3 linked regions of the Notamacropus eugenii genome follow. The protein of the gene in region 1 binds, or shares a complex with, the protein of each later gene. Links are inferred from orthologs where the notes say so. Each region holds a gene or a part of one and is shown in the gene's direction. Other genes may lie near its edges.

Region 1 (9,491 bases):
AATCCAGCCTAATTCCTTTCTCTGACTCAATTCTGGCACTAAAGAAAACCAAGATATGAAGCCTATCTGGCCTAGATCAAGGACACACAAGGTCTGACACAATTTTAGGAGTATTGAGAGCTGAAAGAATGGAAGGTACCAAACTCTTGGGGCAAAACTTCAGGCCTTACTATTATTATCCTCAAAAAGGCAACCAAGAAAATGTCAATACTACTGCCCATACTTCCCCATAGGGGCTCTACACAAATTTTTCTACAGAAAGTATGAGGAAACAGGCATGCATTTGCTATAGCATACCACAGCTTTTTTCACACAACTGCATAAAAGAATAGGACTAAGAGTGTGTCGTCTATTAAAAAGCATTTGATTCATTAGAGCAAAAACATTACTTTTAAGGTTCTCCATTCAACCAATTACTGTCTAAATCACACAAGCTTCTTCGAAGTGTGTAATAACTTTGTATAGCAACTACCTGATTATTAACATAAAGGCATGTGTATAAAATAGGGAGGCAGCTTTTTTTTTGAGACATATGCTTTCTAAAAGTCTTTGCCACTCTCATGAAGGACATCCCACAAAGTCCAAATGCAAGAGGGATTCTACGTAGACAGTGAAGTTTAACAGGTGTTCCTGTTTGTGAAGGGCATTGTAGTAATTGGTAGGAATTTAGTATTTATGACATTATACATTTCATTTAGGAGATCTATAAGTGTTCAAGAGTTTGACTTAATTATTCATATTGAGAGACTAAGTGTACAAAAAATGCTTATTATTCAGACTACAATAATGGACCACCTGTTAAACTGGTTCATTAGTGCATATATTTTGGGCAAACAATGCAGAAGGACAATGAATTGGGTCCAGAACTGAATTGGAGGTGCTAGTTGGACTGCCTTTGAAGAACTGTTCAGGGCTTTTAATATTTCAGAGAACAGCATCTTTTTAATACCACTAATTTTCTGTTGATGCTATACAGCAGCGTTGAGTCATGGGATACTAAAGTCTCTGAAGAATTAAAATTTGGGGTTACCCAAAGGAAATGTACAGGCACAAGGGGAGTACGAGTAAACTTTACATGCCAATGAAGGCCATTCTTAAGAAATGGCATGAAGGAGATCATCCAAAAGGTGTCTAACTGGAAAAAGAGATGGGTCCATATAATGAAGGATATTAACTGACCAGCTCCAGTGCTGTACTGGTATTCATGAAGTATCAAGAGAAAGAGAAGAAAGTCCCCAGAATGCTTGGTTCTTTTCTAAGGAGAATTTATGGACGGTCACAGACAAGAGTAGCATAGGCTGAGAGGTTACAGATGGGCTGCAATTTGTACTGTTAGAATACCTGTTTCAATGAAATCATAGATTCATCAGCGTTATCAAAGCAAAGCTAATAAACCTTTTCAATCTCCCAGAAGCATCTAACATGGATGTGGTTCAAGACTTCTGATTTTAATTCTTAGCTTACTGTAAGAGGAAATAATTTAATTCTCTTGTTTGGGTTGCAAAAATGAGTTATAAGAATGACAAAATATTTACAAAGGAATGAAAAACTTTCAGTAGGTAAAAATGGTCAAATAAATATTTTTATAATTAATGAAAACTGAAAATAATTCACATGCCACATGCTCATACTCTGACTTGTTTGTATTTAAATTATTTCTTTCCCAAGAAAATTCTTTTTCTTTGGATAAAAATGTTCACTGAACAGATGGAATTTTTGAGTCTAATAACATCTTTGAAATCCATATGTACAGTTCAAAGGGGGAAAGAAGGTGTTTGCTATCACACAATTATTGAATTACAGATTCACTACTAAACTGGTAATTCAGCATTACCAAGTAAAATCTGAGATTTATATAAACCCAGTGTAGTAGGCACTATTATTATACCAATTTTATATTTGGGGAAACAGGTTCATGGAAGTTAAGTGACTTGCCTAAGGTAATATAGTGAGTAAGCTGAGGCAGAATTTGCACTCTAGACTTTCTAATTTGCAGCCAAGTATTAGTTTAAGAATTTTTATATACTTTTTTTGCTATTCAAAGCAATAAACACCTAGTAAAAATAAATCTAGTCTATTTCTGATTATGAGTGGAACAGTTTTATCAGTTTCTCAAGTATATTTTCCTACATAGTATCTGACTCCAGAAGAAAGTGGCAAAATTATATAAATGATTGTACTTTAAACTAGAGGCAGTCCAGTTTTTTACAAAGAACACTGCTGACCAGGTTTATGCCACAGTTTCCATTTTTAGCATAATACTTTGTCCATACCTCTAGCTCTCATTTTGTAAGCTAAAGATCAGAAATACTTGTCTATAGCAGAAATTGGGTGATGAATACATATATGTAAGGAGAAATTAAGCATAACTGTAAATGAGGTAAAGGAAATCTCAGGATGAAAATCTTGTGCGCCAGACTGTTTAGGCTTATATAGTGAGTAGTCTTATTGCATAATATACGGGTCTTCAAAAACTGATTTCTGAGCTGCTAAATGACTGGAAAATATATTGTTAAAAGAACTGTAGGAAAATGGTATGCTTATTTCACTGTTGGTAGAGCTGTAAAGGCGTTCAACTATTCTTGAAAATAATTTAGAATTATGCTAGAAAAGTTACCTAATTGTGAATACCCCTTGACTCAGATTGGTACTCCAGGGGTAGTGATGGAAACTAAAGGCCCCATGCATAAAACCTTTTCTCAAAGTATTATTTTTCTAATAAAATACTGGAAACAATGTATACGTTAAACAATCAAGTAAAACCTAACAAATATGGCATAAAAAATAGGGATGATAAGGAATAGTGCACTACTAAGAGGTAAGGAAAGAAAAATACAAAAACAATTCAGACAAACACCAGCAGAGGGGCATGAAGTGGCACAAAACAAAAACACTAGAGACAAAAGAACCACATATCCAACAAAGTCAACACTGACGGGCAACAAACCTCTCTGGTCAAGGAAAATTCTAAAGTCAGTGGTTAGTGCCTCTGTACACACACTAAGTACGATGATTTGGACATAAAGGGTGATACCATAAGCAAATTAAGAGAGCAAGGAATAGTTTATCTATCAGATCTACAGAGAAGGGAAGAATTTATGACCAAACAAGATAGAAAACATTATGAAATGCAAAATGGATAATTTTGATTACATTAGATGAAAAAGTTTTTGCACAAAGTCAAAGCAATCGAGATTAGAAGGAAAGCAGAAAGCTGGGAAACAATGTTTCTGACAAAAGTCTCATTTCTAAAATATACAGAGAATTGATACATAGTAACTGTGATTGGATGAGGATTGTCACTTAAATTCTTAATGCTCCCAGCAGCAAGGCAACCAGGTGATGCAGTGGATAAGGGTGCTAGGCTTGGAGGGAGAAAGATCTGAATTCAAATCCAGCCTCATATTCGATGATAATATGCACAGTGCCTGGCATAGCGTAATCACCTAATATAAATAGTTGTTTCCTTACTCCCCCAACCAACTTTCAAGACTGAGGAAGAAGACTGACGTCTCTATCAGTTGGGAAAGTTTTCACAAAGAGAATTCTGTACACAAAGATCACAAGTGAGGACTGGAACCCCCCCACCCCCAGTATTAGACCATTATAATACACTCTACAACAAGGCTATATAGGGGTCCTGTGACTTTTGGTTAATGATGACTGCAAAAAAAAAAAAGCTCTCAAACGTCACACAACCTAAGTCAAGGAGGCAATAAAAAAGAATCACCCATTGCGGGAACATTTACAGCTCGATCCCTTTGTCTAAGAAACTGAGACTCAAAGAGATAAGGGGACCTATTTAAGATGCCATACTAACAACATACTGCCAATTGACCACAGAGGGTGAAAAAAAGTTAATTCAATTTTATTCGAATCACAAGCAAACAAAAGTTGAAGGGAAAACCCCCCCACATTATTAAGTACTTACTATATGCCAGGCACGGGGCCAAATGCTTTACAAATATCTGATTGATTCGATTCTCACAACCACCCAGGGAGGAAGGTGCTATGGCGATTCCCATTTTAGAGCTGAGAAACCGGAGGCGAAGGCGTTTGCCCCGGGTGGTCCCAAGGCCAGAAAACGTGGGAGGTAGAATTGGAATTCAGGTCCTCCCGAGGCCAGGGACAACACGATCCACCGCGCCCCCTAGCGGACAAGGTCCAAACCGAAAATACACCAGGCTTTCTTCCGCGGAAAAGGGGAAACCAAACAAGATGGGGCCTCCTAACTCCCCCGGCTCTGTTTCCTCGTCCGTAAGGGGTGTGCATGTGTGCATGCACTAAATGGTCTCCCAGATCTTTTCTAGTTCGAAATCGAGAAAAAATCTGCCGTAAACGCCAATTCGTCACTCGCGTCCGCTCTGTCGGGGCCCAAACACTGGACTAGGGCCGTGGCGGTCAACGGCTTCGGGCCGCCGTCCTCCCTCCCCAAAAGTCTCCACGCCGCGTCACGAGCCCGGTAACCTACTTCCTCCTCATGCCAGAAAGGAGGACTGTAAGGTGGCTGAAGATACATACCTGAGTAGAATTGGGAACCCACACTCCCCACGTCCTCTTCAGTCCCGGGTCATTCCGTTTTAAAGCCCGCCCCTAAACCCAACACTTTGCCCCCATTGGCCCTATACCCTCTGTCTATCAGCTACAGCTTGTAGCGTGGGAAGGAAAGCGCTACGGTAACTAAAAGAGACTACGTCTCCCAGCATGCTTCACCAGGAGCCACGGCAAGCGAGGGAAGGACTTTGCTCACGAAAGCATGTTGGGCATTGTGGTCTCATGATTCAGGCGACCATTTCATGCAAATTGAGTGAGTCGTCAAGGAGACGCCCTTCTTAATCCCCCGCCCCTCCCTTGAGCCCCAGGCCCTTCTTGCCTTTGGGCGATGGCGGTTTTTCTGTCCCTTCCAGCTAAATATATTTAATAGCTACCGTGACGGAGCATAGAGAGAGACTCAGTCTGGCACCACGTAGCATGTGACAGCATCACATAAGGTGAAAAGGCCGAGATTGTGCAATGATTACACCGAAAAGCCCAACCCATGCCAGCCCGCCCAGTTCCTAACATCAACCCTCCCTCCCTTCTGGCCGCGGAGCCCACCCCCCCAACTTCCAAATCCGAGCTCCTATTGGTCCATTTGGATGTCATTATTTCCCTCCTCCTTTCCCGGGGTAGGCGGGGCGTGCAAAAGTCCGCCCCTCTCACTCCCCGCCTCTCCCTGCCCGGCCCACCGTCCGAGTCCTCCTTCCCGGGAGGTAGGAGGGGCCATAGTCTCGGGATTGAGAGGTTGCTTCCCTTCCCCCCACATCTGTGGGCGGGGAGCAAGGTAGAGAGAGTGCAAGCGGGACTGGGGGGTAGAGTGGGGGTTTAGAGAAAGAGACCGAGGCGGAGGAGGGGAGAGCGCGCGAGACTGAAGGGAAGGGTGAAAGATAGATGATGGATTGATAGATAGATAGATGATAGATAGATAGATAGATAGATAGATAGATAGATAGATAGATAGATAGATAGATAGATAGATAGATAGAGTTGGGTGCTCCAGAGTACGGCGGCTCGGAAGGGAGAATCCCGAGAGAGCTCCCGGACTGGAGGGGATGGTGTGCGGTGCGGCGGCGGCGTCTTCATCCCTCCCCGGGGCGTGTGCCCGGCACTGATTTCTCCCTGGGACCGCGCAGATCCCGCCCGGAGATGAGGTGGGGGAAAGGCGAGCTGGCGGTGGGCTGAGGCCGTGGGGGGAGGGGGCAGGAGCAGAGAAAGGACGGGATCGCGGAGCTGTGGAGGCGGCGGGTGTGTGCGTGCGTGTGTGTGCGTGTGTGTCTGGGGGGGGGGGGGGCCTGTGTGTGTGTGTGTGTGTGTGTGTGTGTGTGTGTGCGCGCGTGTGTGTGTGGGGAGAGAGATCTCCCTGGGAGGTGACGGGGCCGGGTCGGGGAGCCACGGCCGCCCGGGTGGAGACTTGGGCAGCGACCCCCCTGGCCGCCTTTGGCCCCCAGCGCCTCTGCCCATCCCCGGAGCCCGGGCTCCCCCGCGCCCTGCCCTTCTCTCTCTCTCGTCGTCCTTCGTCGCCGCCGAGGCGGGCAGGGCCGGAGTGAGGGGTGGGCTCCGCGCGTTCGGGGCCCCAGAGGAGCCCCTGGAAGGAAGAGACCTTGGCGGTGATTTGCAGTTAGGAGTCCCTGGCGGGCGAGGGTGATTTGTTGGGTGATTTTGGTGTCTTAAGGATCGGGCTTCAGGTTGATCGGGCCTCAACACCTGGCTGGGAAAAGAGCAACCCTCTTCTCTTATCTTCCCTCTTCTCCACCCCGCCCCCTGCGTGTTGCGGGGCTGGGGGCGCTGGATCCTTCCCGGACGAGCCTTCCCCTTCCCCCCACCCCTCCACTAGTCATGGTGGGGTTTGATAATCCAAGCCATAACCTTCCCAGTTTTCTTGGCAAAGCTACTCACTGCTCACTGGCATAGGTTTTTCAGTCTTTTCTCCCTGGCTCATCCTTATCTGGGTTTCGCAAAAACCAGTGTCACTGAAGGACACGGATCCTGTTTTAATATCCATTCTCTTGCTGTGATCTCCCTCTCTGGAACCACCAGAGAGGCGTGTATGGGTTTGGTTTCTCATCTCTGTTGCTTTTCCTTTCCCAGTTTCCCTCCTTTCCCTCTGCACACAGTTTTATGTTGTGAACAGAAAGAATAATTTTCGTGTCTCCTGGCTTGATAAGGTCATCACCAATAGTGCGTGTTTGTATTTGTGTTCTCTTGATTTTCCTGTCTGTTGCTCCTTTTTTCACTTTCCACATGCATAGTTTTATGATTCCAACTGAAGGAGCAATTGCCGTGTCTCTTACCTAGAGAAGGACATGGCCAATTAAACAAGAAAATGTAGTTGGAACCCTCAGGAAAAGGAAGCCAATGTGGGATCATCTTCCTGTGCCTTTAGTTCTGTTTGCCTTTGAATTAGGAGACAACTTTATAGATTATATTTCCTGTGAGTACTTTTGTCCTGATTCAGCTGTTCTTTTTTTAGTGAAAATAAATTTTTGCTTTTTAGGAAACAAATTAGTTACGATAGCTATTGTATTCAGTCCGTTGGAACTGTGGCAGATTTTTTTTCCCAAGGACATTTTGGTATGTTGTTAAAATAGGAAAACTTTTGGTATCTACTATTTAATGGTGGCATCAATCAGTTTCTTTTTTGCCAAAGGAAAGAAATTGTAATGTAACGTGCAGAATTTCTAAACTTGTGGTTTTGTCTAATTGTCCTTCCACCTTTTTTAAGTAGAATTTTTTTGGATGTTCTTTTTGCCTTGTACATTTCATGGTTGGGAACAGGCTTCTTGTGTCCATCATGCAATTCTTCATTGCCCTTTGAATTACTTGCAACTTTGACTTTTTAGATGTTGTGGTGTTTTGAGATTTGAAACAAACCATTTAGCCTTATGAGAGAGTGTGTTAAAAATGATGCATTTTTGTCCTGGGGAGTATTTTGGGTTTCTTGTAAAGACTATACAGTTACTCAAGTGCCATCCATTCATTTCTGGTCTCAACTCATTGTCTTATCAATCATTCCTACTCCAGATATACATTAAGATGAATGAATCCCACTGTACTCTGTTTTTGTCAGACTTCATCTGGAATATTGTGTCCAGTTCTGGGCACCATGGGTTAAGAAGGGCATTGTAAGCTGCAAAGTGAGCAAAAGAGGGCAATCAGGATGGTGAAGGAACTCTTCAGTTTATGACAAATGAGAATCAGTTGAAAGAACTGGACCAGTTTTCCCTGGAGAAAAGAAGACTCAGGAAGGCATGTGTTCAAGTATTTGAGGGGTAGTCATGTGTTCTATTTGTCCCCAGAGGAAAGAACTAGGAGCTGTGTGGGTAGAGGTTGGAAAGAGGCAGATTTCAGCTTGAGATTGTGAAAATTTTTCAACAATTAGAGCTGTCCAGAAATGGAATGAGCTGCCTTGAGAGGTAGTAATTTCCCTCTCCTTGAAGGTCTTTAATCAAAGGCTTAAAAGCTGACCACTTGTTGAGTAGTGGGGATTCTTTTAGACCATATGGCCATTGAAGGTTCTTCAAATCCTTTTATTCTGTAATTCTGAACTTGGTGATCTTATTAGGTCACATAACTCAGCAGTCCTCTCTGTGACTCTCAGATATATGTTTCTAGTCACTCTCCTCAGTTCCAGGCACACATCATGAAATGACTTTTGGGTGTTTTAAAGTGGATGTTTCATAGTTAGCTCAAAATCAACATGTCCAAATCAAACTTCTTAATTTTCTACCTGTAAACCTTCTAAACTTTATCTCTTCAGGGCCCTGCTGTCCTTCTATTTTCTATTTAGCTTTGTGACTGCAACCCTTCACTTATATATCTTGCTAGATCTTGTCTATTCTGTCTCCACAACATCTCTTCCATCTGTTCTCTTTTCTCAATTTAGACAAATGTCACCCTAGTTCAGGTCTTCATTACCTCTCATGTGGATTATTGCAATAGTCTCTTACTTGGTTCCTTCTATTATCTTTTAATCCATCCTCCACACAGCTGTGAAATTGATTATTCTTAAAGCATAGGTCTGATCATTTCACTTCCATACTCAATAAATAAACTCGGGGCAGCTAGGTGGTGCAGTGGATAGAGCACCAATGCAGGAGTTAGGAGGACCTGAGTTCAAATCTCGCCTCAGACACAGGACACTCACTAGCTGTGTGACCCTGGGCAAGTCACTTAACCCTAACTGCTTCATCCAGGGTCATCTCCAGTTATCCTGATGAATATTTAGTCTTTTCTTTATGATGCTCCTTTCTATCCTCATGGATTCAGATGGCTCTGGAGGAGAAGTGAGGCTGGTGACCTGCACATCCCTCCCTCATGCAAAACAAAGTCAAGTGCAAGTCATGTCATTATTTCTCTGATGGCATGGTCTTCTTTGGCAACCAAGGACAAACACACACACACACCACAAATAAACTCCACTAGCTCCCTCTTGGGCAGCTAGATGGCGCAGTGGATATAGTGCCAGCCCTGGACATAAAAAGACGTGTTCAGATTTGACCTCACACACTTATTAACTGTGTGATCCTGAATAAGTCATTTAACTCTGCCTCAATTTCCTCATCTGTAAGCTGAGCTGAGGAATGAAATGCCAAACTGTTCCAGTATCTTTGCCAAGCCAACCCCAAATGGGGTCATGGAGAGTCAGATGCAACTGAACGACAACATTAGCCACAAGCTCTCTGTTACATTTTGGGTCAAGTATAAGCTCCTCTGTTTGGCATTTAAAGCCCTTTGTAACATAGCCCCATCCTATCTTTGCAGCCTTCTTACACTGTACTCTCCTTTATGTACACTATGTAGTCCAAACAAATTGACTTTCTTACACATGACACTATCACTTATACATGACATGCACTGGTTCTTCCTCACCTCTCCCTCCCAGAATCCCTCACTTCCTTCAGAGGTCTTCTTAGGTGCCTCTTTTACATGAAGACTTTCCTTTTTACTCCTCG
Region 2 (10,240 bases), about 290 Mb from region 1:
TGAAGGAACTCACACCCTAATGGGGGAGAGACAGCACGTAAAAGAAAGTTCAGTTGCAGGGAAGATAGCCTGGAAATCATAAAGGTTTATCTGCGGGTAGACAGCAAGGCCCTTAGGTCACTTAGTTAAGATGGCAGTATATGGAAGATGGCAGGGAAGGAAAGATGCAAGTCAGATGGGAAGGCCTAGAGGTCTTCCATCCCTTCAAAAGGAAGGGAGTTGCTGACTCCTGTCTCTTCTAAACCTTGTGAGCAGTCAAGTAGCCTGGGTAAAGAAGAAAGAAATGTAGGATGCCCCTGATGGTGGCCACTCTTCCCTGTGCCTCAACCATCCTGGATGGGCTCTGGAACAGTTCTGGAACCGAGGAAAGCTAATCCTGCTAGTCATACCAAGAACACATTTAGGAAAGAAAGAGTAAAGGATGGAAGAAGACTTAATATTTCAGGCTGTCAGTAATCATGGTGGTATGATAATGGCAGGGGAGGGTTCAAAAGGTGTTCTGAAGATAGAAGAGATAGGACTTGGTGACACACTAAACAAACCAGATGATAATGACATTTACATACCATTTAAAATTTGCAAAATTCTTTACATATTTTAACATATATATTTACATATATATTTTCATTCGCTTGGTGAGGTATTATACAGCTGACAAAACTGAGATTCAGAGGTCACAACTTGTCCAAGGTTTCATGGATAGTTTTTGAGACTAGATTGGAACTCAAGTCTTTTTTTGTCTCCAAGTCTAGCATGCTTTTTCCATTATACCACAGTGAGTATGAGAAGCAAAAGGGAAATAAGTCCTATCAGAGGGATTATAGAAAGGAGGTTTAGGGGGAAAGGGAAGAAGCTCAGTTACAGAGGGGTTAATGGAGGTGTCAGTGAGACATCCTTGGCTCCTGGAGGCAGTTGGAGATGAAAGTCTGGGCAGCAGGAGAAGTCAAGGATGGAGATCTAAATTGAGGAGTCGTCTGCATGAAGGAAGGAGGATCATGTATCTTGAGCTAGAAGGGTCCTGAGGGGAGCTAGTTCAACCCTCTGCTTTTAAAGATAAAAATTCTGAGGCCAAGAGAGATTAGTGATCTTGGGACCCAAGATTAATATTGTCTCACTTTAGGCTGTTTCAGGGAGGGGAGGGGCTGGCTCAAGTGTGAATGAGATAGAAATGGATGTGTGATAGTTCAAAGGTATCTTAGAACATAGGACATCAGAGGTGGGAGGGACATTAGAACACAGAATGTTAGCTTTGTAAGCCTTAAAGCACTATATAAATGGATTATTATTATATAGCTAGGTCTTCAAGTGGAAAGTGTATGATGATATATCTACTTGGGTATAGATTAGAAGAGGTAATATTATATATGGGAGTGGTATCAAACCTAAATAGAAACTGGGGCCTTTAAACCTTAAAAAAGGATCTTCATAGCAATATAATAACTTAGAAAACCACCTATTATCATATGTATCATATGGATTATTTCATGTATTTTTATTGTGTTAAATATTTCCCACTGACATGTTCCTCCATGGGTTTGATACCTCTGGTGTAAGGTAAGAATAACAAAAGAGCGACTGGGTCACGTTTCTGACTCTGCTGCCCAAGTGACCTTGGGTAAGTCATGTAACCTCTGAGTCACATCTGTAAGACCACATGATCTGTAAAGTCCCTTCTGGCTCTAATATCCTATGCTTCCTTCTAGCCTTGAAGTTCTGTAAATGGCAGAGAAAGGTATTTCTTAACCTGTCAAAACAAGCAACAATCAGTGGACAGAACCCTCTGTAGCATCCCCAGGGCACAGCAGTGCACAAAGCCCTAATAGCTACCTTGTCTTTAAAATCAATCAATCCACAAGCCCTTACCATGGGCCTGGCCCTGCACTCGGTGACACTTAATAGTCTCAGAAGAGACACTATGCAGGGGAAAGAAACAGCATAACCAGCAGAAATACCTGAGAAATGGGATAGCTATAGATGTTCCTTTTAGGGAAGGAGGTGGATGCAGCTAGTTTGAAAACTGGAAGATGAACAGAAAGAGACAGAATTTCCAAGTGAAGAACTCTGAAACTTTTTTGGGGGCAGGAGGGAGAAATGTACGCTTCTTTAATATTTTACTGTTGAAAAACAGCAAGGGACAATGAGTTGAGTGGCAGGAAATTGAGTTGATGCCCTAATTCCTCGATTTACTAGGTTGTAACCTGGGCACATCAGTTCACTTTTCTGGTCATCCATTTTCCCAACGGTAATACAAAAAATAATAAGCTCAGCACAGTCTCTAGAACATAGTAGGTGCTTAACACATTTACTATCTTATTGACTTTATAAAACTTACCCATTTTGCAGAGTGGCTACGAAGTACTTTATAGAAATGAGTTATTATTAATAACCCTGTGGGGGTAGGTGGCACAAGGATTTTGATTCTCATTTTACAGAAGAGGAAACTGAGGTTCAGGAAAAAAAATTGGTCCATTATCATACAACTAGTAAGAAGCGGAGCTTTGACTTGAATTCAGGAATTGTGATATGGAATTATCAGTGCCTCCATACCTTATGCTCCCTCTACTCACTCATCTGTGAACAAGGGGTATCCTTGCAGCAGAAAGTTCAAACTCCATGAAGGCAGCAGCTGTCTGACTTTTGTATTTGTATCCTTAGGGCTTAGCACAGCACCTGGCACACAGTAAGGACTTACTAAATGCTTGCTGACAAGTTGAAGTACAAGGCTCTTTCCACTTTATCACACAGGAAAGAGGTTGTTCTAATGCTTTTGGGACACATTAAGGCATTTCCATTTCCTCCCCATAATAACCTGAGCATATACCACGTGTTTCTTCCCATGCTAGATCTGTGGGGATTGTGGCTAGGTTTGCTATCCACGAAAGCTGTGGAGTGTAAATGACAAAGAGAAAGGGTACTGGAACACCTTCTTGGGGGTAAATGAAAGGTTGAGAAGTGGAAGGACTTGAGCCCATCCCCATCCCCCAACTCTGGCCTAGGTCAGTGTGATCCGACATTCTACATTCTAAAATCTGTGGCCTAAAAGCTGACACTCATGTTCCAAAGTCTGTTCCAGCTCTGACAGTCTCTGTGTGTGAGAGAGAGAGACGAGAGGGCAGGAGAGGCCAGGGGAGGGGAAGAAAAGGAAACAACAGAAGGGAGGTGAGAGGAGGGGATAAGGTTGTTATACCTGTGGGACAGAGTTCCAAATCTTATTTCAATTAGGATTCCTAGAAATGCAAAGCCCCTCTTCTAGGAAAGAGCTTTTCTTCCTCAGCCTCTGTTCTCAAAGGAGCTTACCTTCAGTGGGGTAGAGGAGAGGGAGGGAAGAGGAGACAACGCACAAACATAAAGGGTGTCCCAAAAATCTTAGTGCAGTTTTCAGCTATTCATGCTTGGAGCTATTAAAGCTTAAAATTGCATTAAAACCTTTGGGACACCATGGTTAAGTATACTGAAAATGAAAGGCTGGTACGTTGAGGAGGGCCAGCTAGGTGGCATAGTGTATAGAGTTCCTGGGCCTTCTCCATGAGTTCAAATCTGGCTTCAGATACTAAAGCTGTGTAAACCTGGGCAAGTCACTTATTAATACTGTTTGCCTCAGTTTCTTCATCTGTAAAATGACCTGGAGAAGGAAACGCAAACTCCTTCGGTATCTCTGCCAAGAAAACCCCAAATGGGATCACCAAGTGTCAGACAAGACTGAATAACACCTTGGGAAGAAAGGTGTGTGTGTGTGTGTGTGTGTGTGTGTGTGTGAGTTTTGGGGGGCAGAGGTGCCCGGATCAGGAAAGGTCTCAGGTAAGTGATGGTGTTTCACCTATGTTTAGAAATAAACTATTAATTGTGAAATGTCTCTGTAAGCAGAGACGGGAAGCAGTGAGGGAATTCCAGGGATGGGGCTCAGCCTGTGCAAAGGAGTGGAGATGAGAGATGATCATAAAGTCTAGGGGTTTAGTACTTTAAATGTAAAACAGACGGGCTGGTATTTGATCCGAGAGGCAGTGGCAGATGAACCAAATGGGCCACGGTTAAAGAGCAAAAGGGTTCAGGGAAATTTCTCATGACAGCTCGGGATGACCTCTCCTTCGTCCGGAGGAGAACTGCCCCTCCCCCCGATCAGAAGCAGCAGCGCTGGGCGCCCCTCCCCTCGAAAGCACGCGGCCGCCTGGCGGACGCACGGTGGGGGTCAGCGTCCTAGAGTACCAGAACGAAACTAGGGAGGGGGGGTGGAAATGTACAAGAAAGGAGGAGTCCAACGGAGCAAACCCAGCCTGCTCCGCGTGCCCGGCTGGGGTACCTGCCTCCTCAGGCGCACGCGTTGCTCCGAGCGGCCCCAACCCCAGCCTCACACGCGAGCGAGCCAGCGCCGCGCACGCGCAGCTGCACTCGAGCTGAAGGAGGAGGAGGGAGAGGAAAGAGGAAGGGGCGGGGCTTATAGTGCGTACGTGTATTAGCATAGCTTTCCCTCCCACCCTCCGGCGTGGAGGCGTGTTAGGGGTGGGGGTGGAGATCTGGAAGTGGAAAGCCTCCTGGAGCCTGCGCGCGCCTCGAACTGGCGGGAAGGCGCATGTAAAGCGTCCCTTGTGCATAAGAGGGAGGCTGAGGGGAGTGTTTGGAACGTTCCACACTCCAATTTATGGTGGGGGGGGGTCCTCTCCTTCTGTCCGCGGCTCCATCCGTTTCCACTTTAGTCCTGTTGGCATCACCCCCCCGCCACTTGTTCCTCAAGTCCGGCTGTTCCAAGGGGAAGTCTAGGCGCCTGCTCTATGGCGGCGGAGGCCCCGCCCCTGAAAGGAGCGAAGGGGCGTCGCGAGGCCTTCACTACGGAGGGAGGGGCCAGGCCAGCTCGGGGGCACCGCCTCTGCCCGGCGGCCCGGCGGGGCGGAGGGGCGGCGGGAAGAGGAGGAGCGTCGGCGCCGGCCCAGGCAGCGGGCCTGCGGGCTCCGCCCCTGCCTCGGGCCCCGAGTAGGGGCGAGAAGGCCACCCCTTTCGCCTAGAGCGCCAGGCTAAGCCACCACCCTCCCGGAGGCCCCGCCCTAGACCCGGCCCCTTGGGACCTGCCCCTTCTCTGACTGGAGAAGCTCGGACCTGCCCCGCACCTCTGACCTGAGGGGACCAGAACTGCCCCCCACCTCTGATCTATGGCTCTTAACTGTCCCCTCCTCCTCTGATTGGAGAGGATCGGACCTGCCCCCTCCTCTGGCCCTAGGGAACCCCCCTGACCGAAGGGAATTGGACCTGCCCACTTCCTCTGACTCGAGAGGACCAGATCTATCCTTTAACCACCCCTGGGGATCAGACTAGCCCCCTTCTCTGGCCCAGGGGACCAAACCAGCCCCCTTCCCTCCTCTGGGCCAGGGGACTCGGTCTTGGTCTTGTCTAACTGGGGTGGGGGACCCACCTCAGCCCTTCTACTCTCCTCTGACTTGAGAGGGCCGGTCCTGCCCCTTCTGAGGGGACCAAGTCTTCTCTTCCCCTTCCTAGATCTAGACAGACCAAACCTGGCCCTCTTCTCTGACTCGACCCCTTCTCTTCTGACCTAAGACAACGGGACCACTCCTTTCTCTCCCTCGGCTCTGCTCCCTCCCTCTTTTCTTCCTCTGACCAGAGAGTATTAGACCTGAAGAGATTACAAAGTATCCTAATGAGTTCACAGGCTCATAAGGTTTAGGGCCAGAAGGGACCTGGGAGGTTGCGCCCCTTATTTGGAAGATAAGGAAGGCCCAAGAGAGATAAGTCATTGGACAAGATAACGTAGGAGGAAACAGAATTTGAATTCGGGTCCACCTGATCCCAAATCAAGTGTTCTCATAGTACTAGATCTTTTCTCTCGCTCCACCGGATTCGAGGGACTAGAAATTCCTCTCTTCTCCTGATGGAGGGAACCGGACCCGCTCTTCCTCAGGCCTGAGAGCACTAACCCTTTCCTGTTCTTTCCCGGAAGAAGGGGGAAACTGCAGACTTTTCCCCTGACCCACTTTCCCCAGAGTCCTCCTCCCCTTCTCAAAGCCCACTCGTATCCCCAGTAGTAGACACTCCCTCGGGCAGGGCCTGAGCCCCTGCCTTCCTCCCTACTCCTGGAGTCTGCCCCCCATCCCCACCCCACGCGTAATTCTCGCCTCTTTTCGGCCACAGAGATCCCTGGTCCCTCTTTGCCCTCTCCCGGGGTTCCTCCTTCCCCTGCTCCTGGGGAGAGCCAGCCCCCCGCCCCTCCCAGTCGCTCACAGAGTCCAGCCCCCCGCCCCGCGCGGGGTCCCCGCCTCCTCGGGAGCTCGCTCTCTGGCACACACACGCGCGCACACACGCACAGCCCGGGGTCCAGCCCAGCCCTCCCCAGGTCTCCTCCTCCTGCGGCCGCCAGGGAAACCTTGCACACAGAGACAGACACACTGGGAGACACACACGCACCGGGCCCAGCCAGCCCTCCCCTGGGTCTCCTTCTCCTGGGGCTGCCCGGGAAAGCTGCATACCCGCACACTCCCGGGCAGGGTCCGGCCCGACCCCCTCCTCTTCTCCCCCTTTCCGTCCCCGCTCTCCTGCTGCTGCTGCTACTGCCGTCGCCGCCGCCGCCGGGAGAGGATTCATGTCCCTCCAGCATCATGCAGCCGCCGCCGAGGAAGGTGAGCGAGCCGGCGGGGCTGCGGCTGAGGCCGGGCGGGGGGCGGGAGCACGCGGGGGGCTCCGCAGCTGCTGCGAGCTGCCAAGGAGAAAGACTGCTTCTCCCCGCCCCGGGCGGGATCTGCTCCTCCCGCAGCAGCCCAGGCACTCGCGGCTTCTCTGGGCGCCGCAGCCCGGGATGCGGAGCCGGGGTGCTGGGGGGTGAGGGGACGCTTGTGGGTCTCTCTCCTCGCCCAGCTGCCACCCCAGGCCCCCCGAGGCCCACCTTCCCTCCGCCCTCACCCGCTCCCTCTCTTTGGGAATGAGGTGGAAGCCTGCGCGGTTTGCAGAAGGAGTTGTATGGATGTGTGAGTGTGTGGTGTGTGTGTGTATGTATGTATATGTGTGTGTGTGTGTGTGTGTGTGTGTGTGTGTGTGTGTGTGTGTGTGTGTGTGCGGTGCGCGCCGGGAGAGTGGATTCCGGTTGCAAAGTGCATTCTCGGGCTTGCACAGAGGCACAGCGAGCTTGGGAACCGAGCAAGCCCCTGCAGTTCTGCAGAGCCTGTGCGACTCAGTGTGTGTATTATTGTTTAGTCTGCACCAAGGCTTCGCCCTCCGCTCCCGCCGCCCCCCATTTTGCAGGATTTGGTTGTGTTCTCCGCTCCTCGCCTGGGCCTGGTTTTCCTCTGGGAGCCAGAGGGGAGAAGTTGAAATGGGCACACCCCTTTTCTCCTCACCTTCTCCCCCCCCCCCCGCCCCCTCCCCAGGAAGGTTTATCGAGCTTTCCCAAGTGAGCAGTCGTGGTGGAGTGCAAAGAGCTGGGTCTCAATCTCGCCCTTGACACTAACTCACTAGTAACGTTGTCTTGGAAAAGTCCCTTCCCTTTTCTGGCCCTCAGTTTCCTTCGTCTGTAAAATGAGGGAGTTGTACTAGGTGACCTCTAGTTCCCTGCTAGGAAAATGAGGTGCCACCTTTCCGTATTCCATAAAGCTCCATGTTTCTAAATAGCCCTACCTGCCGTTTGGGCAAGGTGCTTCAGTCTGAGTCCCCCGCTATCGCTAAGATGGGGGTGGGGTGGGGAAGTTGTGTATTCAGCTGAGGTTATGTTTCTAGTGTAGGGCCGGATGAGTGAAGCAATAGGACTGAGTGCCCAGTATAGGAAGAGGGAAGGAGTTGTGTCAGGTTTGTGTACACCACCTTTTCTCCCATCACAAACAACCATCCTTTCACTCTAAGTAACCCCAGGCCACCTTTAGCCTTTTAGAGTGGGACTGTTTATTTTCTGAAGCTAAACATTTGCTTAATGTCAAATTCCACTAGTGTGTTCTTCCTGTTTTATTTCATTTTTATTTAAATCCGGGTTTGTTTAACAGATTCGGCCCTTGTTTTCTGGGAATGTCTGACACACACACAGAGACACACACACACACACACACACACACACACACACACACACACACACACACACACACACACACACACACACACACACACACTCCAATGTAGCTGGGTAATAGCTCTCATAGTGCTAGACAGATTTTTATCCCAACAGCATAGGCTTCAAGTCACTGAAATATTCTGACACCCTCCTCCAACTAAAAACAAACAAACAAGCCCCAGCTCACCAGAAAAAAAACAACACACCGTTTGAAGTAAACTGCTAAAGTTATCAGGATACTAGTTCACTCTCCTTGCTAAATGGTTACCCTTCCCTCTGTGAGTTAGTGTGTATTCTCTTTTATGAGTGAGTGATTGTGATTGTGTGGGCTGTCAATGAGATGAGTGTATCATTCTCAGGATTTTGTTCCATGCAGCCATTATGGAATAATTTATTTAATCGATGCCCATTTCGTGATTGTGTAACTAGAGTTTATTAGAGGTTATATATGTGAGGGAGGACAGCTTCGCTTCATTTCCCCTCCTTCCCCCCTCCCCCACAGCATGGATGGGCATATTTGCTTATGTTTGGAGAAAAAGAAGATAAATTCTTTTAGATAACAATAAGAGAACATGGGTGCCTGGTTGCTCAAATGATGATCCAACTTGCCCAGCTTGATATCTTTTAAATGAGATTGGTCATTTACCCTTTAGTTAAACCAGTATTTTCGCCTGTTTGGCTAGTTTGTTCATAAAACATTTTATTTTATGGAGATGCTAAGATAGACAATTAGTGAACTGGTAGATGGGCATATAATTTTAAAATTTAGTATTTTTTGTTTTGTTCACATTACAGTCGGTCTTATCTTCATCATTTTCTGGTATATTTTAGGTGAAAGTTACACAGGAACTGAAAAATATTCAGGTTGAACAGATGACAAAACTTCAGGCCAAACATCAGGCAGAATGTGATTTACTTGAAGATATGAGGTAAGGTCACAGCAAACACCTTTAAAAATCCTGTAATATCTCCCTTTTAGAAGAACATTTGAGTTACAAAACCCCAGGAACTGATGATGGAATTTCCTCTTGGATTTCCTGCTTTTCGGCTGCTGGAGCTTTGACACAGCTGGAAATTATAACTGAAGCAAGCACAATACAACCCTTTTCTTCTCTCCAGTGGGGGAAGGCTACAGTGTATAAATGCAGTTGTGAAGAAATCAAACGAAAGTCAAGCATCATAACAGTGATTCTAATTTTAAATGGTCTCTCAGCTGAATGCCTGAGATATATGTTTAAAGACAGCTACTCTGTTGTCTTTAATCCTATTAAACTGTTGAATTCTCAAAAATCATTGTACACCAAAGTGGGCACTTTCAGGGATTGCTGATAACTGTCTTTGGAATCAACAGAAAGTAAATGTTGTTAAAAATTATTCACTGGAACTTGATCAAAAAAACCCAGACCTATCTGGCTTCAGATCCTGGAATGCTTAATCCAAGAGGGAAATTGAAAGTGTTAGATGAATTTTATCGTTGAAGATTCCCTATGTTCATGGTCAAGGTAACATTGCAGTTAATGGGATGGATGCCTTGCAACATTGTGGAATTAGATAACTTTAGAGGGAGTGGTGACTGTACCAAAAGAGAGAGTATTTTTTGTATTAATATTTTAGAAACTTTATTAGAAGTCTCAACTGACAGTAGAATAGATGAAGGTTGTGTATTAGTATAAAAAATGAAAAATATTTATATTAAGGGGTTACATGAAAATAGCTGACATTTATGTAGCTCCTTAAAATGTACAAAATACCTTATCTTATTTGATCCATACAGCAATCCTGTGATGTAGATTCTCTAAGTAGTACTATCACCACTTTATAGATGAAGAGATAGAGCCTTGGTGGTGGTGTTAAGGCTATAAAAAGAGGGAGCTAGGTGGTACAGTAAAATTGAAATCAGGAAGACTTGAGTTCATTCTGGTTTCATATACTTACTGGGCAGGTAGTTATTGGCTGGATGACCCTGGGCCTAAATCATTTAACCTCTCAGCTTCAGTTTCCTCTTCTAAGTAGCTGAATTCAGATCTGACTTGAGACGCTTGCTAGCTCTGGGACCCTGGCCAAGTTAACTTAGCCCATTTGCCTCAGTTTCCTCATCTATAAAATGGGGATAATAATAGCATCTACCTTTCAGGGCTGTTGTGAGCATGAAATGAGATAGTGCTTAGAACAGTGCCTGGCACACAATGTAAATGTTTGCTATTA
Region 3 (9,381 bases), on another chromosome or scaffold:
GTCATCCCCAAAGGAGAGCATTGCTGACCTGGTGCTGATTGGGCTGTCTGGAGGAGAGAGGGAGACTCTGCCCCCTAGGCCTGTGGCCTGTGGCCTGTGTCCCCAGAGGATTGGGCACCAGGCTCTGGCATGATTACAATTGCTGAGCCTTAGCCCTGGTCTTGATGCCCAGGTGGGCTGTGGACACCTTGGTGTGGCCAACATAGAATTAGTTATTCCTTATGAGGCCAGGGTGAGGGTGGGATTGAAACCATGGAGGCAGACTCTCCTCCTGAGCAAATAGCCCTCCCTCTCTGCCCCCTGCCCAGGAACCTGGGCAAACCTGGAGGGCAGGCAGAGTGGTCAGTGCCTTGGCCTGCCCCACTCAGTTATGGTGGTCTCCCTGCTCATTTCTACCTCTTGTCACCTAGAGCTTCTCTGGCTGCCTCTTCCTGCAGGAGGCTTTCCCTAATTCCCCATAGCTGCCCAGGCCACACATCCCAGTCTCCTGCCTGGACCCCCCATGAAACTTTGTTCATGTTTGAATGTACTTGTTTGCGTATCTAGATGGAATGTAAGGTCTGTCTATCTCACTTTTCTGTTTTTAACCCCAGTAAAAGTGCACAGTGCCTGGGGCGTGGTAGATGTCAAAATGCCTTTACAAATGGCCTCCACCCACCCTCCTCAGCTCACACAGCTCCCCTGGCCCTTGCCAAGGCACTTTCAGCACTCGTAAGAAGGAAGAAGGATCCCCTTGCCCTTTGGGTGGGGCCAAGATCTTGGCATAGTTAAGTCACCAGGATTAAAAAGAGTTCTTCTGGAAAGGGCTGGTAGAGCCTGTGGTACAGAGAGCCTCAGGCATCTTGGGAGTTGACTTCTGTGCCCTAAGGGGCCTCCCCAGAAGGCGCGCTCCCCAAGGCCAGCCTCTATCTGCTTCCATGAGCACTCTCCTCCTCCCAGCCCAGGCCCCATGGCCTGAGGTCTCTGTACCCCCCACCCACTCCCCCATTGGCCTGGAGGCCCCCTGCAGGAGGAGAGAAAAGGGCTCCTTTTGGGTATTTGCTTAGGCAAGGGAAGGCTACTTCATTATTCTCCTGCAAGCATTGAATCCGGTTTGGGGGGTTTTTTGGTAGCTGTTTTTTCCAGGAAACCCCCAGGCCCTGCAGTGGCCACTGGGAGAACCTGACTTCCCTTTTCTGAACTGGGTGGAGACCTCGGTTTGGCCACAGCTGTCCAACATCTGCCCCAGCCCTGCCCAGAAGGAGCTTTGTGCCTCACATCCTGGCCAGAGGGCGGTCTCTCCCAGAGGTCCTTGCTGACTGTGAGGCCCTGGCTCTCCTCTGGCCGGTCAATCCGCCTCCCCCAGGCTTCATTTCCCCCCTAGGCCAGGGCTGGCTGGGGTCTTTGTCAGGAAGAGCCGGGCAGGAAGGGGGAAGATAGGGAGGCTTTCTCAACATTTCTGGACAAAGCATGTGTCATGCCTCTTTTCTGGGCAAAGTGCCTCCAGATGAACCAAGGTCCCCCTCCCTGTTCCCCAGAAACCCCCAGCGAAGCTTCCTGTGGCTCCTGTTTTCCAACCACTCAGCAGATTCTCCCCTGCCCCCCCTAGCCCCAGACCAGCCTGAGGCGCCCCTCCTCAGGAAGGTGCTGACCCAGTTCTTTGAAGATTTCTTCCTTCTGCAAGCTCGGCAGCTCAGCAGGGTGAGCTCCAGGCCCTGGCCCCAGCTCCCCCTCCCCCAGGCAGCCCACCAGCTTCTGGCCAGGCGCTGACTCAGTGAGTGGAAAGGACCCCTGGGAACTCAAACTGAGCCTCCTCTTACAGAGAAGGAACCAGGCCCAGCACAGAGGAAGAGACTTTGTGCACTCCAGAAGCTGAGCCGAGTTCCATGTCCAGCCTTCTGTCCACACCCTCATTTACAGAGTAGAAATTGAGGCCTAGGGAAGAAAGGCAGATGGGCAGCAGCCAGAGGAACCTGAAGACAATTCCTCAGATTCCTGAGGCAGCTGGGTGGTACAGTGGGTAGGGAGATGGTCCTACAATCAGGAAGGCCTGAGTTGAAATGTGACCTTAGACACTTTCCAATGCTGTGACCTTGGGAAAAGCCCTGGGATAGTCAGGGAACAGTTTGACCAGGTCCCTGGCCTCAGAGAGTTTACTTCTCCTGCAGAGGAGCTGCCCAGGGAAAGGAAGGGGATGAAGCCTGAGAGGAGGAGGCCTCTGCCCTTCCCAAGGAGAAGGCTGGGTAAAGCAGCAGAGGAACTCAAGGACTTGTGTCCTTGCCAGGTAGCTGACACCCATGCCTCTAGCCTTTCCCAGCTCCAGTCCCTACTCAGCACTGTGCCTGAAAGCCTGGATTCAGGAATCATCTGTGGCTCCCTATGGCCTTCAGAGAAAAATGCAAACTCCCCTGTTTGACTTTGGAAGCCCTTGCCAGTCTGATTCCAATCTGGCCTTCCAGGCTTTTTTCACTCAAGTCCTCCCCATACCTGACATTCAGCCAAATTGGCACAGTCATCACTGAACATACAGGACATTGTGGGGTGTATGGGGTGTTCAGAGGGGACCAGCCTCCGTGGCATGAGGGCTACTGGGCACTTCTCAGGGCTGCTCATCCACCTTTGGTGTCCCCCTGACACCCAAATGTCACCTGTGGCTTCCAGGTGTGTGTGTGTGTGTGTGTGTGTGTGTGTGTGTGTGTGTGTGTGTGTGTGTGTGTGTGTGTGTGTACACAGTACGTATGGGGTGTTTAGGCAGGACAAGCCCCTCTGGGGTGAGGGCTGCTCATCTACCTTTGGTGTCCACCAGTGGCTCCCAGAAGCTGGAGCGTGTGTAGTGGTCACACCTGGTAAAATCATCTGGGCACATGGGCTAAACCAGGTTGAGGGAACTGAGGGGTCTCAAACCCATCCGTGAGTTAGGGGGTGTCTCCTCCAAGCAGGTGAAGTCTTCTCCCAGCAGAATGGGTAGATGAAAACAATTGGTTCCGCAGCCATGAAGGCGACTGAGGGGGGCGCCATGGAGTGCTTGGAGCCTTGTCAGGACTTTGTACCATCCTGTCTCACTTACATCCAATTCAGGAGCAGGGAAGACATCACCCCGTGAGGTCACTGGTCCTTATCCAAAGGAAGTTGGAACAACAGCAGGACATTGTGCCTTTGCAGGGCTGTCCCCTCGTCTCTTCCCTTGCTCATGGCTCCAGTCCATAGGAGGCCCTTCCTGGTCCATCCTTGACTGTCTGATTCTTGTCACCCATCCTGTGGAGGAAGCTTCAGGGGCTCCCTATCACCTCTAGGAGTAAAAATAAAACCCTCCACTTGGCTTTGAAAGTATTTCCTCCCCTAACTCGCCTTCCCCGCTTCCAGTCTTCTGACAACCTTATCCATGTACTTATCAGTTATTAAATAGGCAATCAACATTGATTAAGTGCCTACTATGTGCCATGCAGCATGCTCAGCACACAAAGCTAGCCAGCGACACTGGCCTCCTCACTGTTTCTTAAACAAGACCCTCCATTTCCGGACTACAGGTATTTGCCTTGCCTGTGCCACCTGCCTGGGTCTTTGCCTCCTGGCTCCTCTCATCAAGTTTCAGCTGGAACTGGCCTGTTGGTGCTTTCCTCGTTGCTTGAGTGTCTCAGATCCATCCAGTTTAGAGCTGGTTTGTACCTCACTCTGCATGTGGTCTCTCCATGATTAGCTCACAGTCCCTTGACAGCAGAGGCCATTCTGCCTTTCTTGGCATCCCTTGTGGTCTATATATACAGCTCCTGGCACATAGTAGGCACTTAAATGCTTGTTGACCTGACTAGACTCATCCTACTAGTTGCTGCCAATTTACAATCATGGGCACCAGCCTCTTCCTTTAGGAGAATGTCAGGTTCCTGCAAGTTGGGACTTTCATTCTGTCTTGGTTCTCCTAGCCTGTGGCACAGGGCTTGGCTCAGAGGGGGCAGTGAACACATGCATATTGGGTTGGCAGGACCTCTGTGTGAAATCTCTCTTGGGGGGAGACATTGCTGTTTAGCTATGGAGTAGGCGTTTAAGAAATGTTTATTGGCTGACAGATGGTCTGAACCCCAGCTTCCTGACTGAAGTCAAAGAGAGCAAAGTTAGCTCATTCCAGGCTAGGGGCACCACAGGGCATAGAATGCTGGACCTGGCCCTGGGTAGGTCACTTATCTTCTGCCTCCCTGCCTCAGTTTCTTCATCTGTAACATGAGCATCTATAGCACTTCTCTTGAAGGATCCACTGAGATATTTGCAAATGCTTTGCCAACCTTAAAGTCTTCATGATTAAAGCTGGGAAGCATGGGTGGAGCTAAATCATGGAGGGAGGAGAATGCCAGGGCCAGGGATTTCCGTTCTCTGTGGTAGGCCACAGAGAAGACCTGAAGGCTGTACCAGTGGTCTATGATGCCCTCATTCAGTTGGAGATGTAAGAGGTTAGAGGCCCACTGAAACTTCTCTAAGAGAGCTGAGAGAGGACTCATAGAGCCTGGGAGGCCTTGGCCCCTCTCCCCATGGACCACATTTTCCCAAGTCTCCATTTTGAGGAAGGTCCTGCCCAGCAGCCTCCTTCCTCCAGTCCTCTCTGTAGCTTGGGCACCTTCATCCGGCTCCCTCCTCCTCCCCTTGGAAGACAAGCTCCTTGGGGCAGCTAGCTGGTGCAGTGGCTAGAGCATAGGCCCTAGAGTCAGGAGGATCTGAGTTCAAATCTGCCTTCAAACCCTTGATGCCTCCTAACTGTGTGACCCTGGGCAAGTCAAATCTGACTGCCTTAAAAAAAAAAAAAAAAGGAACCTCCTTGAGGGGAGCTGCTATGTGTCTCTCACCTTGGATTTATACCCCTTGTGCTGTCAGTGCCCCAGTCATCTTAGCTGGAGGGCAGGAGTTTCTGGCTGGGTCACCATTGTGGAAGGCAATGAGCCTGTCCCATTAATGCAGGCCCCCCTCCCTTCTCTGCCCCAGGGGCTGCTGCCCCTTACGGGGCGTTGGACCTGTGCTCCCCAGACCTGACTCTGGGCCAGAGCCTGAACCTGGGCCTGGCTTGGCTATGTCCCCAGTGCCTGACACACAGGAAGCCTTCCTTCATGGTCTGTGCCTTGGCCTGAGCTCCTGCCCACTGGCCCAAGGGTGGCCCAAGGTGGCCAAGGGTGGCCAAGGGTGGCCCAAAATGGCCCAAGGTGGCCCAAGGTGGCCAAGGGTGGCCCAGGGTGGACCGGGCCAGAGGCCTTTGAAGTCCAAGGAGGGGAGTCTGTCCGAAGATTCACCGAAGCCTGGGGGCCGCTGAGTGCAGCCTGCATCTGGCTAGGATGCTGACAATAAGCTTAGCGAGTCCCACGCGCTTCCCTGCAAAGACAAGCTCGCACCCTGCTCTAAGGGCTGGCTGCCTCCTGAGACCAGCGCAGGCCGGCGCATGCGCCCTGACTCGCCGCTCCCCCGCCCGTCGGGCCCCCACGCTGCTTCCTCCGACCTGGAGGGGGCGCTCGCGAGCTCCCAAGGGCGCGGGCACGGCGTGCTGGCGCCCGTGTGCGTGCGTGCGGACACGCGCACGTCTGGGCGGGGCGAGCGTGACCGGGGGCGCGCGTGCTGCTGCTGCTCCAGCTCCTGCGGGGGAGAGACAGACTGAAGCAGAGGCGGCGGAGACCCGGAGGGAACCCCAGGCCGGAGCCGGAGCCGGGCCGGAGCCCCCGCCGCCATCATGCCGGCCGTGTCCAAGGGCGACGGGATGCGGGGCCTGGCCGTGTTCATCTCGGACATCCGCAACTGTGAGTGCGGGGGGGAAGGGGAGGGAGCCGGACTGCGTGTTCCCCCCCCCCCCCGGGCCCCCGCCCGAGCTGCGGCCACTGGGAAGGCCTGGGGACGGCCCGGCGCTGCTCCCCTCCCCCCGCGGTGCTCCCCTCCCCCCCGCGGTGCTCCCCTCCCCCCCGCGGTGCTCCCCTCCCCCCCGCGGTGCTCCCCTCCCCCCCCGCTGTGCTGCCCTCCCCCCCCCGCTGTGCTCCCCTCCCCCCGCTGTGCTGCCCTCCCCCCCCCCCCGCTGTGCTGCCCTCCCCCCCCCGCTGTGCTGCCCTCCCCCCGCGGTGCTCCCCTCCCCCCCGCGGTGCTGCCCTCCCCCCCCGCTGTGCTCCCCTCCCCCCCGCGGTGCTGCCCTCCCCCCGCGGTGCTCCCTTCCCCCCCGCGGTGCTCCCCTCCCCCCCCCGCTGTGCTCCCCTCCCCCCCGCTGTGCTCCCCTCCCCCCCCCCCCGCGGTGCTCCCCTCCCCCCGCTGTGCTCCCCTCCCCCCCGCTGTGCTGCCCTCCCCCCCGCGGTGCTCCCCACCTCCCCGCGGTGCTCCAGCTCGGGCGGGGCCAGGCCCGGGCGTCCCCCCGGGGGGAGTGGGGGGGCATCCAGGGCCGGCCGCGGCCTCCCGCCCCTCCCGCCAGCCCCCCTCCCCCCGCCCGGGGTTCCTGGGGCCCCGGGCCCTCCGGACGCGGAGAGGGGGCAGTGACAGGTCTGTGTGGCTCATTCATTTCAATTGCTTAGGAGGGAGGCCTCAGTTTCCCACCTCCCCGAAGCCTCGGACCCAGCCCCCCTGCGGGCTGGGATTGTGTTGGGGGTCCCTGCCTGGACATCCGGCCGCCCTTGGCCAAGAACGGGGAGCCGCTCCCCAATGGGGGGGTGCCGAGCTCCGGGCTGGCCTTGACCCGCGGAGCTGTCCCCGGGCCGGCCCAAGGCAGCCGGCCGCCGCCGATCCCGGGCCAGGGAGGTCCTGGCCATTGTCCAGCACCCCGGAGCCTTCCTGCGATGCCCAGGGCCCGGGCACGCCCCCTGGGCCGTCGCTGCCTTTGGAGGATTCGGGGATCAGGGGCAGACCTCATTTCCTTATTCTTGAAAACCGAGACACACCCTCCAGATGCCAGGCTGGGGGGTCTCTGTGGCTCAGCCCCCTCCAAAGCCCGGCCAGCTTCCCTCCCGCAGCCCTAATTACACCTGTGCGTTGTAAGCTCCCCAGGGCTGAGCTTCCGCGGGCGCCTGGGGCATATCCCCTGTGCCCCCTCACCTGGGGGCTGCTGAGTGCACCCAGCTGGCCTTCTCACATCAGCACACAGAGGGAGGACTGTATTCACTGGGTCTGCCTGGTGATTGGTTCCTTGTCAATGATCATGTACCGTGGCCCTCCTTCAGGGAAGCTCTGGCCTCATTTGGCTGGAGGTTCCCTAGTTTGGAGTCTCTGTGCCCCCCCTCCCCATTCCTGCCACATGAGGAATTCCTGTCATTGTTCTTCCTGAGGTCTAGCCTAGATGGTCTGTGTGCCCTGTGTATCCCCTGAGGGTCTGAGTGCCCCCCCCAAGCTCTGTATGCCCTGTGTATCCCCTGAGGGTCTGAGTGCCTCCCCACCCCAAGCTCTGTATGCCCTGTGTGGCTTGTGTGGCACCTGAGGGTCTGAGTGCCTCCCCCCCAAGCTCTGTGCGCCTGTGTGCCCTCTGAGGGTCTGTGTGCCCCTTGTGGGGCTGAGTGCCCTGTGACCTTCCCTTTCCTCTTTGTCTTCCCTTACATTTCTGCAGTCCAAGCTATCCATTTAGTTAGGAGATGACCAGATATTGGACCTACCTTCTCTTCCCCCCAAAAAGAGACCAGTTGGTTTTTTTTTTTGAATGAATGAATGAATGAACGAAAAAGCATTTGAATGCTTAGTGTGTGTGCAGTGTGTTTTGTTCTTTCTAATGGAAGAAACATCATGCACTGGACAATTTCCACTCTGAGCTGGAGAGAGGGTCCTCACGTTCTTTAGGGTGCAGAGGGCTGTCTTTAGGGTCCTTTCCAACAAGAAAACCAAAGCAGCCTCTCCTGTTGAACCCCTCAATAAGGAGGTTGTGTCAGCATTCTGTGGCAGGCATGTGTAGACATGGGCTTAGAAATCAAAGTTTTTGGGAGTCTAAAGGCCCCTTAATCAGAGTAGCCAGGATCACCAGGCTCCCCAAATAGGTCCAGGTGAAAACATTTTGGGCCTGATGTGGGCAGTGAGTCTTGAGATGGCCCAGTAACATTCAGAGTGCTTTGTCGGACCTCTTTTGCCAGATTCTCAGAGTTTGGAAGCTTTGTCAGAGCTGATGCCTTCAAAGCAATAGGGCGCCTGGACTGGTGAGCAGCGGCTCTGAAGCTGGCAGGGTCCTGTTGCCCCTTGTGTCTGGGGCAGGAATACCCTGACTCATTTTCCCATATTGGTCTTGGAACTCTGGGTGTTTGGGGTGAAGCTAGAGACTCAGCTTTTTAAAAAGGAGGATCACTTGGATTATTTTGCGAGTTTACGGAAGCTTGGCCACTGGTCACTCTGGGGTGCTTAATGTCTCTTTGGGAAATGAGTGAATGGCCGCACTTGAGAGTTCCTCTGGCAGAGAGTGGCAGGCTGGCAGGGAGGGGAGGAGCTTTTCAAGGAAAGATGGTGTTTTCTTACCTTTCTTACCTTTCAGCCTCACGTGAAGCCTGCCAAGGGCAGCCATTATTAGGTTGGGGTCCAGATGAGGTTCCCCTTTGATCTCAGGCTTCAGGGATGGCAGGCTCCCCATCTTTTTGGTCATACCCATTCCTCCCTGCCACCACTCCACAGACACACACACAGACACACACAGACACAGACACACACAGACACACAGAGACACAGAGACACAGACACAGAGACACACACACACACACACACACACACACATTCCTCCCTGCCACCACTCCACAGACACACACACAGACACACACAGACACAGACACACACAGACACACAGAGACACAGAGACACACACACAGAGACACACACACACACACACACACACACACACACACACACACGATGGTCTGGAAGTTCTTAGAATCCGCCTTGCTCCAGGTCACACCTGCACAGCCTGGGGCCCCACCACTGTCTCCCTTGATGACCTCATCATCTCCCTCGGGGTCAGTTCTCAGTCTCTGTGCACATGATTTTCAGGGCTAAACTCCCAGACCTTTTGTTTCTCCCAATTCTACCCTGATTGCCTGCTGCACGTCCTGTCCACATTCCGTACTTCTCAAACAGCTTGTCACCCATTCTGCTGACAGTCACCTGAGGTGCCCCTCACTCTCACCCTCCATGGAAGGACCCTTGGGCCTTGCCTTGGCCCTGCAGCTGAACTGCTGGCTTCAATTCTTGCTTTGAATATTTGTGTCATCAGCCCTGGAGGGGAGGGGGCTAGGCACTGTGCTGATCCTCATAGAACTTCTGTTAAGGGCTCATTTTACAGTTGAAGAAACTGAGGCAGGCATCAATGACTTTCCTAAGCCCCCTAGCTATCGTGGTAAACACTTAGTAAGTCCTTTTCTATTTGCTCCATACCTCTCCTAGGTGTCCCTTCTCTGCTCGTGTAGCTACCCCTCTGGCCTGGGCTGTCATTAGCAG

What was found.
Region 2: the proteins of ITSN1 (region 1) and FCHSD2 are in contact, whole or in part, in a crystal structure (PDB 6GBU), measured with the Homo sapiens proteins. The link is inferred for Notamacropus eugenii from reciprocal best matches to the Homo sapiens genes ITSN1 and FCHSD2. Residues at the interface, in NP_003015.2 of Homo sapiens: Pro1076, Ile1078, Gly1098, Leu1100, Leu1102, Gln1117, Ala1118, Arg1119, Gly1120, Lys1121, Lys1122, Arg1123, Leu1136, Ser1137, Pro1138; in NP_055639.2 of Homo sapiens: Tyr576, Gln581, Thr582, Asp584, Glu585, Gln602, Asp603, Asp604, Asp605, Gly606, Phe607, Val618, Pro620, Val622, Leu623.
Region 3: the proteins of ITSN1 (region 1) and AP2A2 are in contact, whole or in part, in a crystal structure (PDB 3HS8), measured with the Mus musculus proteins. The link is inferred for Notamacropus eugenii from reciprocal best matches to the Homo sapiens genes ITSN1 and AP2A2. Residues at the interface, in NP_034717.2 of Mus musculus: Asn841, Trp843, Ala844, Phe846, Ser847, Ser848; in XP_006536218.1 of Mus musculus: Glu308, Gly320, Val321, Glu324, Gln329, Gly331, Leu332, Lys333, Phe346, Gly348, Asn349, Lys350, Gly386, Ala387, Gln388.

The regions. Positions count from the first base shown.
Region 1 is NC_092876.1:425,620,014-425,629,504, reverse strand, and holds the start of ITSN1 (intersectin-1), read left to right. Parts: upstream 1-4,860; 5' UTR 4,861-4,991; intron 4,992-5,012; exon of another isoform or gene 5,013-5,690; intron 5,691-9,491. UniProt on the Homo sapiens protein: Adapter protein that provides a link between the endocytic membrane traffic and the actin assembly machinery. Acts as a guanine nucleotide exchange factor (GEF) for CDC42, and thereby stimulates actin nucleation mediated by WASL and the ARP2/3 complex.
Region 2 is NC_092876.1:132,593,947-132,604,186, forward strand, and holds the start of FCHSD2 (F-BAR and double SH3 domains protein 2), read left to right. Parts: upstream 1-6,048; 5' UTR 6,049-6,599; coding exon 6,600-6,620; intron 6,621-8,866; coding exon 8,867-8,964; intron 8,965-10,240. UniProt on the Homo sapiens protein: Adapter protein that plays a role in endocytosis via clathrin-coated pits. Contributes to the internalization of cell surface receptors, such as integrin ITGB1 and transferrin receptor.
Region 3 is NC_092873.1:27,298,403-27,307,783, reverse strand, and holds the start of AP2A2 (AP-2 complex subunit alpha-2), read left to right. Parts: upstream 1-5,531; 5' UTR 5,532-5,680; coding exon 5,681-5,747; intron 5,748-9,381. UniProt on the Homo sapiens protein: Component of the adaptor protein complex 2 (AP-2). Adaptor protein complexes function in protein transport via transport vesicles in different membrane traffic pathways.